Linked DNA regions of Drosophila melanogaster. The protein of the gene in region 1 purifies or fractionates together with the protein of each later gene. This does not show direct contact. Each region holds a gene or a part of one and is shown on either strand. Other genes may lie near its edges.

Region 1 (8,264 bases):
TTTTTGGTCTATATAAACCCAGAAACACCTGTGCGTCTGCACGTGTTATGTAGGCAGATCCTAAAACTAGGAAAGTGGCACGTGTTTATATGGTGGGCAATAGAATTTATTTATTCTTAAGATTTTAGGATGGGCAAACGAAATTATTTAGTTTTAAAAGGTGGGCAATCGAAATTATTTAGTTTTAAGAGTGGGCAAACGAAAAAAACTAATAATAATGGTTGGGCAAACCTTTTTTGTTGATAATATTTGGTTTTAAGAGATGGGCAAACGATTTACTCTCTGATTAGACCGAGGTAAACTTAAAAGCCTTATATTTTCTAAAGTATACATTTTTTCAAAATTCTAAAGGGTGGGCAAACGTGGGCAAACGATGTTATTGCGATTTAAAAAAAAAAATTTTGAAAAAAGCGAAATTTTTGATTTTCGAAAATTTTCGAACTTTTTCGAAAATTCATATCTCAAAAACTGGACGTGGGCAAAAAAAACTAATTGGTGGGCAAACATGGGCAAAAAATGGGCAAACGATTCCAGCTTTCAAATTTCAAAAATTCGATTTTTCCGACCCCAGCTTCTTTGAGCTTTCAAGAACACCAATATGAAACAAATACAAAAATAAAATACCAATAGTAGAGTTCGATAGACTCCAATGATAATTTGAAAGCATCCCGTTATGGCCATTCCAAGACTCTTTGTCATTGCGCTGGGAAACCCTCAGGCATTTTACGAGGAGCACTTGGTGGTGGTTGGGTGGTGTTATCCATCTTCTGCAGTGGAACACAGTGACTTGGCCTCAAGTCCAGTAAAGTCGAAAACGTTTTCGATATTCAGCTCAACATTGGGAGCTTATGTGTGAAATGTGTGTGTGAAATGCCTTGGTTCGCATCTATGTATGTACACATGCCACAAGACTGCTGATGCATCGTTTATCACCACTTTTTTGTTTGGTGACTTCCCATATCCCAAGTTGACATACGACCAATTCCAATTTCAAATCAATGACCTCAAGTGTACCCTCTACTCGTTTGATAATTTTCGTTTGCTGTTGTTATTTTCCCTGTGTTGTTTACGAATATTTAGATAACGTCTTTTTCGAGTGCCGTCGGTGGAAAAAATGCGGTGACAATTACAAGCGTGCGATGTTTAAACAATTTCCGACTCCGGCATTCGGGTCATTGTCTTGATAAAAGAAAAAAAAAATCGAGCTCTATCAAAAGCTTACCAGTTCCCCCAAGCCAATTGTACTTTAAAATGTTGAGGTAGTTTTAATGAACTTCGAATTCGTCGCTTCTGCAGTCGACTGACTGACAGTCCAACCACAAAATTGCCACAGGCATACAGCCAAAAAATTCAGCTTAAGCCAGACGCAAATCGCACTGAAAACTTCGTCTCGTCTCGTCTTGTCAACAAATTGAAGGTAAATCTCTTCAAGTACTTTTTGCTTAACGTTATTTATGATTTTTCTAAAATCCTTATTCAGGCTTTCCTTGGATAATCTTTAATTACACTTACTTGGGTTGAATGTAATATTACAGATGTGAGATGTTCAAAGCCATAGAAAAGAAAATCCCTTTCATGTGCTTATTTGGTTTTTAATTGTAAATCTTATTTATTGCAGAACGTTTTTTACAACATTTTATCTATAAGATTGACGACTAATCTATGCTATGTATGTATGTACATATGGCTTCAAGTGCTTGTTTATAAATGTCTCACATGTTCCTTTTAGTATCATTTCGATTAATGGTTCATGTAGAAAATAAAAAAAAAAACAATACTTAAGTGAATTTTGTTTAATAATTGCTTTCAATCAAATACATACATACACATTTCTAATTGGTCTTGATCGTTTTTGTGGCAACTGTACATATTGTATGGGTACCAAATTTGTTGTTTCTGTTTGATCCAAGTGTTTTGTGAGACAAAAATTAAGTGTAGATTTCTGCACCGCTTTTCTATGTTACTCAGTAGAAAGAGTAGGGAATATTTGTCTTTTGAAGTGGAAAATCTATTTTCGTCATGAGGAAATCATAATAGTCGTACGCATCCCTAAATCGAAAAATTCCATTTCTGTCATATTTAATTTGGCTTGTAGTAAAAAGGCGCCCCAAAATTAGATCCATAATCATATTATACCATTTAATACCCATAAAAATTTAGGGTAGTAAACATAAATTTTGACTACAGATTTTATATTTTCCGTAAATAACGCGCACTATTTTAATTTATAGCATTTCTAGGATAGTATACATATGTATAAACTCCATTTCCGTCAAAAGATTGATGAAACCAGATGAAGCATTCCTCAAAGCGAATGCATACACTGCATACACATCAAAAATGTTTGGGCGTGGGTATATCCTCCAATTGTTTCCCAACAACTCTTATTGGCACTTTTTCTTGTGGTCTTAATTTCTGGGCCGCAATATTCGCATCTTTGCTAATCCCTTTGTTTGTTTTTAGCTTTCCCGATTTCCCCTGTCCTCCTGCTACATTTTCGCTCCTTTCGCCTGCAGTTCTTATTCGTCCCAAGGATAAATTCATGAAAACAAAAAGTGCTCCGCCAAAAACACCAACTCACACACACACACACACACACACGCACCTACATACCTACCAATAATACCAAGGTAATAGCACCCGCAGAAACACACGCACACTTCGACAGTACCACTGGCGGCTAACTGTACTGCATGGACAAACACACAAAAAAGCGAACAAGAAAGTAAGCCGAAACTTACATACCCTTGCAGTAATAATACAAAACACCTGTATACCGAGCAATACTTCATGATTAAGAACCGATGATTATTTTATCACTTTCAGTTAATTTTCTTATTTTTCCTATGACAGCTATGTACATGATGCAATAGCTATAAAACTGAGACTTTTTTTTATGGAAATGGACAGACAAACGGACAGGTGGACCGTTAATTAGACTCTAAATACTGATCATGATATTCCGATATACCGAATTTAATGTGCCATCTGCAAGGGTATATAACCTGAAATAAGAACAGAGAAAAAGTTAAGTTTCTCTTCTGTTCGCTGTCTTCTAATTTCTGTTCGTGCTTTTGTTCTTCCCTTACTGGTTTGTTTTGTTTTGTTTTGTTCTGCGTTTGTTTGTTTGTTTTTCTTTCTTTCTTAATTTTTGGCAACGTCAATTACACGCGAAACTTCTTGCCTGAGTGCTTAACCCTTGGCAGGGCGCGCAGGTAGTGAGCGCTCTCGTATTAACCCTACAGCGCTCACGCACACACGCGTGAAATATGCAGAATATATGGTTGCAAATTAAATATCATATTGCATATTAGCCACCAATTTGCAACGGGATCAGTGTATTCTGGCTAAACGAATTAAGTTAGTTCAGTGGGGAAAACAGCGATCTCCGTGCGGATGGTTCGTTACTTCAGTTTTTGGGGGTTAATGGCTTTTAAACTGCAGACTGCACTTTACGTACATACGTACATATATACCTAAATATATATGTTTATATATACATATGTAATATGTATGTTTTCTTCATTTCTTTGCCTTTCCCTTATTTTCCTGCCTTCGGAAACGCAAATGATGCAGTTTGTTTGATTCATTTGACATTACAATTGCTGCAGCTGCACGTTGTTGTTCTCGTTTTGTTGTTGCTGCTGCTTCTGGCGATGCTGCATTTTGCTTCAGTTTCAGTTTTTCATGTTTTTCCAAGCACAAACCACGCTGCAGTCGCTGCTGTTGTCGTTGTTGTTGTTGTTATCATTGCTGCTTCTGTTGTTTTGCAGGTAAGTCGAAGATGAGTGTTGAACCGGTTCAACGGGTACACACGACTACCATTGAAAGAAGCCACATACGTACATGAAGACAGACACACACACTCTCACACACGGGCAGCACTTACACTCTCCCTCCCGCTCGCTCGCTCTATCTCTCCCACTCGCACTCTATGCACTTATTTTAACTCTTTATCTCTCCACTCTCTTTACCACGCTTTGTGTTGATCCGCTCTCCGCTCCGTTATTTACTCCACGGCGTGACTTTTCCAAATATAATCACCTTTTGGCTTTAGCTGCTTGTGAGGGGGTTGAAGTGGTGTGTGGGTGGGGGGGGCTTGTTGTTGTTTTCGTTTAAGGGGTATCACTTGCAAGTAACCGAAAAAAAAGTGTGAGTAATGCACTCCGGGACAGCCGCAACAGCCGCGTGTTTGGCGGCGTTCGAAAAAAAAAGCAAACACACACACACTAGCCGCCACTCAACTCAAGTGAACTCCACGCGACGCGAGGCGAGTCGAGACGACTTTTCGTGTTTCGTTAACCGCGACTGTCCATTCAATTGGCGGCAACAACTGACTGCTTCGCGCACTCGAGTACGTACATATGTGTATGTGGGTGGGCGATGCGCTCGACGTTTCACTCTAGCAACAACCTACGCGACCGGCGTTTGCAACAACACTGCGACGCACATCTGTTCGAGAGCAGGCCGCTCGAGCCGCATCGAACCGAGTCGCAGCGAACCGAACCGAACTAAGCCGAGCCGTCATGCAACATGTTCGACTGGAACGTCAGCTGAGGGGTTGCAACAGCAACAAAGCACTGAAACAAAACGTGTGTAACGAATTATAAAATCAAATTTACGGCGATTTTTCACTTAATGAATGTATACAAAAACAAAAAAAATTAAAATCAATAATTTTTTTTCAATAAAAAAAAATAATTTTAGTTATCACCATAATCAAATCAAACAAAACCATGGTACGAAAGTCGTGACAATTTTACCCTTAACGATTCTGATGCCAATGAAATGTGTTTTTTTTTTTTTGTCTTATTGTACAGCTAGGATGTTGAGATTAAGCATACATGTTCTATACATAAACATAGACGCAGAGCCAGTTTGTTGACCCATTTTGCCACGCCCACTCTAACGCTCACAAGCCGCCAAAAACTACCCAAGCAATTTTTAAATAGTTTCTTATTTCATTCCCCAATAATATCTACCTAAGAAAAATGTTAAAATTTCGCGTTCGCATTTCCATTAGCCAAGTAACCGATATACTCGACTATAGATTCTCCCTTCTCAAGAACAGAGCTCAGTACAAAATATATACATATGTATTCAAAAAATCAGTTGAACACAAAATAAGAATTTCAGCTCCATCGCGAACGTTAGAAACTGAATGAATTCATCAGCCAGTTGACAGAAGTTTGATTTTAAGACCTCTGATCGTCGAACAAAATGGAAAGGAGCTGCTGCTTGGTAGTGCAATTCATTTTAAAATTTCAGCGGCTAGCATCATTAATTACGTCACCGGCGAAAAAAGAAGGAAAGTGAAGCGTTCTCTGTGCCCCTGAATAACTGCGAAGAATTAAGTACGTCAGTAAGGGGAGAGCATACACGCGCCCATGTGTGGAGCCAGCCAGATACACTGCGAGAAACGAGTGGCAATTCCAATCCAATACATAAATATGTAAGGTTCCCTTTACATAAAATTAAATAGTAAGGTATCATGGGAAACCAGTACACATTGATAATAGCATAAGAGCAATGGCATTATTACTACATTTCAATGAAAGATACTTTAAATTGCTTAATTTTGGAAGTTTTCGATGTTTGTTATTATGCCTTAATATTAATATAGCTTTATTTCCTATTTATTTATAAGAGATACCAGAAAGTGAAGCTAATTTTTTATTAGACCTGAAGATTTAAGAGGCATACGCAGCGCAAGTTAGTTGTCAAGTAATGTTGGCACCTCCACTTTAACGCCCACAAATCGCTCAAATCTGCCACGCCTACACTTCTTGAAAATGTTTTGAAATGTAAAAGTCGACAACTAATTATGGACACCCTAATTTTAAATTTGGTTAATTTGATTTCTAATTAAAAAAATTTAAACAAGCAAAGTAAATCTTTTACAGAAAAAATACTGGTTTTTTTATTTATTTAAAAAACGCATCTTTTGTTATAGGGAAATAGAAGTGTTGGCGAGCAATCGATTTTTTCGCCAATTGATTGTGTAAGTTTTAAAATAAAAGATGTATATTTTTTTGATTTGAAATGCAGAAACTAAATGAAATGCTGCTCGATCATGATAGGTTACAATTGGTATTGCAGCATTTTGAAATGTACAGTAGACTAAACACAGATGGACGCCAAATTAATTATGACAAATTATGCTATAAACTGGGCACATAAGCACCAAATCAAGCTAGGATCATAAAAATAGAACACACATTTCATGAGAACAAGGTAACCATCTTCTATGTTCGTTTTATTTAATATTCTTTTATATCCTTCCTATCTAGGACTTACATATATTTTCATTTGGTGAGTAAACATTTCAACAACTGCGAACATATAAAACACAAGAATAACACACTCCACTTACAATATTTTACGTTTTCTCTATTTTAGTTGGTTAAATGTTTAAAATTGTTTTGTTTTTTGCTTTTATTTAAAGATCGACTCTATTCAGGCATAATAACTTATATAGTTTTAGAGAATATTCAATGAATATTTCCTCCAAAAGGAAAAAGACATTGACACCAATGATGTGGAATCTTCTATTCTGTATCTTCTATTCTGTATCTGTATCTGTAAATGAAGAACTAAAACCATATGAAAATATGAACATCTTGCTGAAGGAGCAGCTGACTCAGTTGAGTTGGTGAGCTAGCTTTAGATTTTAGATTGATTAATGAACATGAACTTTAACAATAAGTTGCTCTTAATGGCGACTCCGATGAACCCAAACGGAGGACTCCTTGAAGCGCACCATCAGCCAGGTGGCGTTGCAGGCGACGGAGGAGGAGCCAACTAAAGTGACTGGTGACTAAAGTAGCCAGGCTCATCACCATTTCCAGCTGGCCCTGCAGTTGGATGTGCTAGTTGGATGCAGGTTTCCCCATTTCGGTCGACTTCGGTCACTATCACCATCATCATCTTCCTTGCTTGGAAAAGTTGTACGAGATCGATTTGGACAACTATGCGGCTGAGGAGTTTGCGGATCTATCTGGAGAGCACTGCCAAGTGCGCATTTCTCGGCAGGAGTACGTGTACCTGGCGAATATGGATTTGAACTGGGTCCATCCATCCACTGGACATGTCTATCGGGAGCCATTGCCCAGGCTTTATTACCCAGCTTATATTCCCAAGAAGGATGCCCAATTGGCTTGATAAATTTTAAGTTTTGGGTAATATAATTAAAATATATAATTGAAAGGTGTAACTTATAACCTACAATATTTATGTATTTGCATTCATCTGAGAGTCAAGCTTTTCAGTCCAAACTGTGGACACTGATGACGTTCTCATTGCAACATCCGCTGATGATGCCGCAGTTCTAGTCAGAAACCCCTTTCCACAGGAGTATGTTTGTTGCTTTGAAAAATTGACGCAGGATTGGAACAAACAGGAATAAACAGTAGCAAATGAGCAAAGTTTATGTTTTCGATCAGACCTGGAATATATACGCATCTTGGATCCGTGCTGGAGCATAAGTCGTATGGAAAATATCTTGGGATTATCTATACTTTGGCTATGTTGTCAAAAGTTGCGAAAATATCGTGGCTCCTGTCTCCTAGTATCAAGCTCTCCTTAAAAAGCAAGTTGGCTATATATAAAACCATCCTCAAACCGATTTGAAGATATGGCTTTCAAGTTTATGGAGTTGCTGCTAAATTGCACCATAAAGAAAATCCGTACAGCTCAGAGTAAAATACTGAGAACAATGTGCAATGCTTCTTGGTACATACATACATGCGTTTCTAGATGCATAGAAAGTGGATCTGGATCAACTAGAATCCTGTCGTAAAAAATATATCCCAATTCCCAGTATTAGTTGTCAATCAATATTTAAATGTACGAAACATTTATCTTAGTAAGTAATCAAAAATTGTTAACGTTGTGTCTAATACTAATATAATATTACTTATTTCTATTTCTTAAACATATAAGTGTTTAGGCTGCCTGAAGGTAGTTTTTAAAATAAAAATAACAATAAAAAAAGAGTTAAGCCTAAATTAATATAAGCTACTTTCTATAGTCTAAGCTTATTTAGGAAAAGTTTAGGGCTTCTAAAGTTCTTAATGATGTGAAATATGAAATGTAGCTTGTTCTCACAACCAAATTTAGGTTTGAAACGGAAAATGATTTTGGTTTTCATATTGGAGTATATTTTAAAAGCGAACTGAGCTTTTAAAGTATACCCCCGTAAAGAAAGTTTAAAGCTCAAGCTTCTTAAGATTATTTCCATAGGGACACTTTCATATTCAGGACAC
Region 2 (7,947 bases), on another chromosome or scaffold:
GATCTCGTCCCCAAAAATACGTAAGACAATTAAGCGTTTAAAACCAAAACCACGAGTTCTGGTGACTCCCAGAAAATCAGCCAAAAATGCTGGCAAAAAGAATATAATTTATAGTGGTTCGGCTTACAAAAACTTTCTGCGAAAAACCGGTCAAGCCAATCCCGGTCTGATGATTGTGGAAAAGGCCTCATTATGGCGTAAAATGACTCCTGCCGAAAGGGATCTCTATCGGAATGTGAGCAGACCAAGGCGCCAGAACACCAAAGTATCCAGAGTTGACGCTCCCAAGCGCGAAAAGAAGCGTAAAACCTCACAGTTCACCCAGATTTCAGAAAGTGATTTTTCGGAAACTAATTTCAATATTCAGCGAGATGGCCAGCTAGAAGTTTGGAATGGAAGTACAAATTCCCTAGAGGAGGCAAACGGCTCCTGGTTCAAATTTGGATACATTGCTAAAGCACTTGGAACAGTCAAGAGTATATTTAAATAACTATTTCTTTTACAAATATTGTACAAAACATTTGCATAACTATAAAAAGCATTGTAAGCACGCAATTAAACACCAAGGTCAAAGGCGAAGGAAATTCGAAAGTTATTTTTATTACGGTTTACAAAACCGCAAATCGTGAAATCCCTTAAATTGATTTTGATTCAGTTTTTTTCACGAATTTCACTAAGCTTGGTGTGGCATTTGTCCTAAATGTATTTCTTAAGTCAGTCGAAACGGGTTGAAGTTTTAATTCTCCCTATACGGAATTATTCATCTGTTTGTGCAACTTGTAGCTCTGCCACTGCCATCTCCTCTCAACCCGCCACAATCATCGCCGATTTGTGGGTGGACTGGACGGACACCGAGATGAGTCGATGGGGCCTTTGTCTACACTCGACTTTCCTGCATTGGTTCCTGCTCCTGGGCTAACAAATTTCTCGCCATTGTTTACTCGGTTCAGAGTGCGTTCAGAGTCGTTCCAGCCCCCTGAACTCTCATAGCTGCTTCCGTTTCCGGCTTTGTTTTCGTTCCGTTTCGTTCGAAGAGCCCGGGGCTAGCTTTCCACATTTGGTGTTTATTTTATTGTACATTTGCTGCCGGCAATTCCGCTGAGCCGTGAACTGTTCGGCGTGTCATCATTCGCCTTGGCTTCAGTTGCTGAACATCATCATCATCATTATCATCAGACCCGGAATCACCAACATTATCACCACCGCCATATCCATATATGAGAGGTAAATTTCCACGGCGGCCCTAGACGCAAGGACAAGGTTGGGTCGGAGTTGGACGGTGTTGATGTCTGTGCACGTTGTTGTGTTCTGGCTGCTGTTATTGTTGTCTTTCGGTTGCTTTTTAACGTGCGCCCTTCGTGTTATTTACTTAACAATTTACTGAATAATTTACACTCCCCCCCTACCTTCCGCCCAGCGGATGGTGAAAGCTATCGTGTTGGGCATATTGGGCCAGGAAGTCAGCGTGCAGTGGAGTTTATAGATGCACAAAAACTTGGGCGCACAAATTGGTTTAGAATTTTTAAAATATTTGAACAGATTTATATAAAAATTTAAAATGAAAACAATTAAAATAAAAACATTTTAAATAAGACCATTTTCCCTCAAACGCACAGTTTAATTTAATTTTACTTTTACTGGAAAGTGGAATAGCTGGGTAGCATTTAGTCTAGCTGAAGCCAGGAAATTTTCCATAAGTTGCCTGTATTTTTTCGTTGCCGCTTCGCTTCCTGTTTGCTCCTTGCTGGCCACCCCCACCGCGCATCCCCCTCCACTTTCCACTGATGGGCGTTGAGTTATGAACCTGACTTTCCTTTTGGGGGTTTCGGTGTGGGGGGCTCAGTGGAAAGTAAAACTTTCACCTGTGCTGTGAGCCCGTGAGCCTGTATTTGTGTGTGTGTGTGTGGCTTGGTGTGGTTGATAGTTGTCCACAGAATCACACACACAGTAAAGTTACATACGCTTGTGTTTACTTAGTCGAGTCTTTGACTGACATTTAATGCGGTTAGCATACGTGTGTGCGTGTTCGCTTCACTGTGTTGATAATGTGCATAATAAGCCCTAATTAATGTTAAATAATGAATTTTCTCATTTGCACGCCGTCAGCGTTGAAAAGGCACTGCCTTCGGCATTTGCTCGATTCCATTTCATTTCGAGACAAACACACGTCTTTCGAAAATACTTGCTTCGAAATACTTGCAGTTTAACCCCCCGATTGCCACAAAAAAGGTTCCAATTTCGAGCAGATGGGGAGGTTAGAAATGGGGGCATGGCGAGTTCCTTTGTTGTGGTTCGTGCACCTTTCCTTTTTTTGAAATTTACCAAAGCCACAGCACAAACATTTCAAATAAATATCAGCAAGTTTTTCTTCAGGGTACTTTGTGTGTTTGGTAATTAAATGACCTTATCAAAGGGGCTTTATCTGGTTCGCAAGCCATTTGACAACCGTAATTTACACGAGCTTAATTGAATGTTGAACAAATTAATGACAAGAGCCGAAGGTTACTTCCCAAAAGGGTTGTATCTGCAAACAAATACTGGCCATTCAATTATTTGGAGCTCCTGTCCAAAGTTGTTGGAACTCTTTTATAAGTCCAAACTCCTGGTGAACTTCATTGCCAATCCCCCAATGAAGCCAATCCTCACAATGCCCAACTTCTCGTGGCCAACTCTTTTAAATCGAACACTTTTGTTTATTTACAAGCATTTAACTGAATTATACAAGCAACTTTGCGCATAACAAATATCGAATTTGGCTCCTTCGACCCCAAAATCGTAATGCGGGTTAAGATGAGGAGGAGTTCGAGCATATAAAAAGTTCAAACTGTCAGAACTTTGACAGCAATATTGTTGAGTTATATGTACAACAAGCGGAATAACTAAAACAGTGCAGAAATTAGAAACAACATACCGAAAATGTCCGAAAAACTTTGCCCTCGTCGAATCCTGCAACTTTTTCGCCTCGATTCTTATTAAGGATGTTGCTTTTGTTGTTTAGCCGATGATGTTGACGGTGGTGGTGCTGTTGTTGTCGCAGGAGAAAATCAATGTCGGCATATTTTATCCTTTTTTCATAGCCAGGCACAAATATACATGAAACATACATATACAAATAAAATACACCACTACACTGACACAGCAAAGGAGTAGGAAATCCAACCGAGAAGCCAGAAAAACAGTTGCCAAACTCAGCGTTTTTTTTTTATATGTATATGGCAGTTGATTAGCCGCCTGATGCTGTGGATTTTTATTATTACTTTGTTTGATTTTTTGCCCAACTTGGTTTTTCCTTGTTCGGTTTTTATGGGCCTTGATTTGATTGCATTTTGTTTGTGGAATATATATATGTATTTTTTGCTGTTTGCGCTGGCACTTTCGCTGACAGCCCTTGAGGCAATTATTTTTTAGACCCGAAATCGCTTACAACGTTTCAATATTTTGTTTGATTTTGTAGTGAATACATGTTGCAGCGAGTGCTCCTCAAGTTTGTTGTTTGTTTTATTTTATCTTTGCCCCCTCTGTTATTTTTCTCTTGTCACTTTTCGAGGTGGGTGGCATGCGCTGAGTGGCATGTCAATCAAAAATCAATCAAAATGTTCGCGTTTTCGCGCTCGTTAGCGTTTACACATGTTGTTGTCGCTGGCTTCTCAAATTGCGGCAAATGGATTTCAGGTTGTTTTCCGAATTTCCCGTCTCGCGTTACCCGGCGCACTCGGAAAATTCTTATGGCGACACGTACTGCTGCCCCCTCCCAAACTCTTGCCTCTTTCCACTTGCCACTGTACACAGACACACACACACACGCACAGAAACAGGGAAACCCAGGCACCAAGGAGCTAACTGCGGGTTTAGTTGAGTTAACTACGGATTAGTTGACCACCTGGTCAGGACCTTTGGCTCTTGGCAGCTCTAATTCCGGCGGAGTGCTCCACGGGCGGGTTTACGGATCCGTCCGGTTCGGAGCGAAAATAACGGAGCGGAACGGACTCGAACGGATCGACTGCGGCGTGTCTGTCGCTCACGGCGTACGCTTTTCAACTGCTGCGCCCGCAACGCTCGACGGATTTCCAGGCAGGCAGACGCCTCCGCCAAGTGGAAACCAAGCGGAGTTCGGCCTCCTCTCTCGGCAGCGTCCTCGTGCCTCGTTTTTCACTCGGCAAACAAACTGTTATACACGCTCTCTCCCGAGAGAGCGAGAGATTGTGTAGAAGAGAAAGAGCCGCAAGGGAAAGTCGCCCACCACTTTCACCGGTCTCTCAGCTACCTTATTTATATTTTCAATGTGATTTATATGCCTATTAAAAACCAAATCAACGGGACTTGTCAATTGCATACTATTAACAATTGATATGACAACTTAAGTAACATAAATACTAAATACAACTTGATAAAAATTTACCTACAATTCAGAAATTCATATAAAATAGATATAACATATAAAATGGAAATATTCGTATTGAACGGAAGCAACCAGAATACAGTAGTTATGAAGAGATTAAAGAAAATGCAATAATAAAATATATTTAAATAAAATATGTTGTTTAAACATATACATGCCTGGGCAACATTTTTAAGTTATAAATCTTTATTATTGTTATTGTTTGTGATCTCCTTGCCCGCTTTCTTGGTGAACACTATTCCGTTCTATTTTATATCCGGCCCTTTTCAGTATAAGAGCAATCATACAAACTGTTCCCAGATAATTTCCCCCTATGGGATGCTCTCCTAGTATCACAGTTGTTATAACAGAGCACTCGTTAAGGGAGTCGGCGCCACTCTGGAAATTCAAAGCGCACAGCCTGAAAAGCCAACCTCAACACTAGCAGCTGACTGACCGAGCGGGTGGAAAAACTTCACCACGGACTCTGGCGTGAAAACTCCCAAGCTGAAGTCCTCAGCCGGCGGGATATGTGGCCGGAATCGGAGGCTTCAGTTGCCAGTGCATTTCCCCACCGCCCACACACAGCCCCGCCCAAATACCCGTGACACCGAGCGAAGCGGGTCCCTGCGGAGGTGCCGAAAATCCATTTTGGCCAGAACCGAAGCCAAGAAGAAGTCTTGGGGTAAAATATAGAAGTGGGCGGTTGGCGAAAGCCAGCAGCGAAAAATATCGATTCGGTTCGATTGTTGTTGCCTGGCTGCCCGAATTGTATATTGCTTTATAAGCAGCTTCTGTCTTCGACAAAATATATATATATATGTATGAAAAAGGAAAAAACAGAAGAAAATCAGCAGACCCTGCCCTGCGGTTGCTTATTTGGCTGCTTTAGTTTCGATGCCATCAAGCGAAGTCCTTTTCGCGATTTCAAAACTGGAAAAAAAATAGAAATAAAACCAGAGATGGGAATTTTTCGTTTTACGCTGTTTTTCTTGTTTGATGCCTCTCCTTCTATCGAAATGAGTAAATAACCAATGAAGCAGATAGAAATGTTTATTGTTATTCTTCGGGGCTTTCTCTGCTTTGCGTGCTCCTCCTTGGTCATTCAAATCAATTCCGTAGGCAGCTTGTAGCTAAGTTTGTATCTCCGATTTCATCTGCATTTTTATTTAAATTTACATTGGCCCGGCATCAAGGAGACAAGATTGTCGTCTTGCCGAGTAAACGAGCCATTGCACATTATGAATGTTGGCTTACAATCTTTGTCCTCCTCCGCGAAAATTCTCCTTTGTCGGGAAGTACAATAATTAAGGCTGCGTTAAGTATACGCACCTTGGGCGCGGAGTGGTGCGGCTTGTTCGCCGTGTTCTCGGCTCCACTCGCGCATAGTTTGTGTCGCATTAAAACTATTTAAGTTTTTAATGCCCTAACAGCGATGATCTTGTGCCTGGCATATAAATTACTCAGGCGCCCCTTTGGCCCCGCCGTCTTTGCATTAACAGGGCTTCAAAGGCCTCCGCCCTGCCGACACCCACCATCGTCACCCATCATCGCCACCCAACAGCCAGCTGAACGTCCTTGCCATCGAGCGTGGAAAGCGCGGAAGCAGCGAAGCTCCAAGATGTTGAGCACTTTGCCAAAGTTTTTACTTGGCTCGTTGGCAATTTTTACTTTGTTGCTTTATAGGGATTTATGTTTAATCGGCCAAAGGTTACTTCGAATCACCCGCACATACTTACCCACACATTTGCTCTTTGGCAGGCCGACATGTTAAAAGCTCCTTTGTTTTACAGATAGAACGAAGGACGAAAGGATAGGGGTAGTGAAATGCGTTACTTGCACTGTCAACGCCGAAAGTGGAAGTAAGTTATCCTTATGTGAATCACCTTAATAAATCGAACGATATTTCTTTAAATTCATTTATAAAGTCGGGGCTATCGGGGTTTTTAAGTATCATTAAATTTAAAAACAAGTTGTTCCCTGATAAGTAAAAAGATCATCATCAAAAGTTCAAAAAAGTTATTTTTTTTCTCTTTTTTCGTAAACCATCTAACTTAAATGTACAGCTTTAAAAATTAATTAAATATTTCAAAGCTCTTTTGCCGGCAGCTTTTTAACAATATTATTCCATTAAATACCCGGCAAAGAGCAAATAAATAATCCAACTGCGAACTGAATTGCATTTACCCCTCGCTGTTGGCCGTTCATTAACCCGCTCTTAGCCGTTTATTTACTTGGATAAACTGTTACAATTGTCCCCAGCTCAGGTTCGGTCAATAAACGAACTTTCATTGGCTTAATTGTAGAAGTGGCAGCAGCTGCATGCAAAGCAATCCCTTCTAGAGTTTGCACTTCAACAAATGGATATAGCCGTTTGAGAAGTCATTTCCGATTAGCTTTACTTATTTTGTAAGCACTACAGTAACCTGATACTTTTCATCAGCTAAACAAGTCCATTGATAAACGTTTCGTATAGTTTTAGAAGATTAAGAAGAAGCGACTGATTCCCAAACTACACAGAAGTGGGTCCAACTAGCGACGGTAGTATTATTGTATTCCCACAAATCTAGATCCAGGTACTCAAAGTTTTAGCGACATATTGAATATATGATTATAGACTTAAATCTAAAAATGATAACACTATATTAGATGACATAACAACCCGTTAATACAAGCCTCAAAGTTTGGCCATGCAATTTTGAGGCAGTCCTACGAGCTTTCTACAGTACTCACTCGGCGAAGGACGAACATTGATTGGTGTGCGAGACGTAGTTCTTTGATTTGTGTCTAGACCGATGAGCGCGTGCCTCAATGTTGGTGGAAAATGGAGGACTCGAGGAATCGAGAAGGCAACTTGGCTTACGAAAATTCATAGCCTGAGCGCGAAAGTTTATTAGATGCCCTTTGCTCTCTGCCTTTGTCTTTGCTTTTGTTGCCGTTGCCTTTGAAACGTAGCCAGAATTTTAATTTCCGCCTAGAGCGTGTCGCACGTGGCCGCACTGTCAAGGAAGTTGACAAAGCCGACAGCTCCTTTGAGTTTCAGCCAAGTACCGCCGACCTTTGTGGGCGTTGTGGGCCATCAAGTTGGACGGCGGTCTGTAATTATGACCTCCTCTAGTTAAGACTCCAAATAGTTGACCTTAAAGCTAATGAAAAGTGTTGGCATACCTCTAAAATAGAGCGGAGTAAATTGAAAAAATTATAAAATAAAAAATAAACAGACAGGGAAACGGATATGGGAAATAGTTGGCGATTGTTTTCGACGCATTCGAGCGTTCGATGCACTCCAAATATTTGTTCAAATATTTGCCAACACGCTCCAGCTTTTCTGTTTCACTTCTGTTCGCCTTGTTAATGCTATTGTTGTACAACTTTTGTGCAAAATATTTTACGCCCCACAATTTCCTGGAAATCTACATTTTTGCTCACTACTTTTTTTTTGCATTTCGAAAGGGGGCAGTACTCGAACACATATACAGCTGAAACAGGCTGAGTACTGAGACAGACACACATTTATGAGAATGGCTATTGGCATGGAGCCATGGCCCAAAGCCTAGTGATGCAGTTGG

What was found.
Region 2: the proteins of kek5 (region 1) and kek2 purify together in Drosophila melanogaster (affinity purification with western blotting; one study listed by BioGRID). This does not show direct contact.

Annotation. Positions count from the first base shown.
Region 1 is NC_004354.4:19,349,364-19,357,627, reverse strand, and holds the start of kek5 (kekkon 5), read right to left. Parts: upstream 4,448-8,264; 5' UTR 3,975-4,447; intron 1-3,974.
Region 2 is NT_033779.5:11,578,067-11,586,013, reverse strand, and holds the start of kek2 (kekkon 2), read right to left. Parts: upstream 4,078-7,947; 5' UTR 2,912-4,077; intron 582-2,911; exon of another isoform or gene 491-581; coding exon of another isoform or gene 1-490. Other genes in the region: Mst33A, read left to right, coding at 1-490.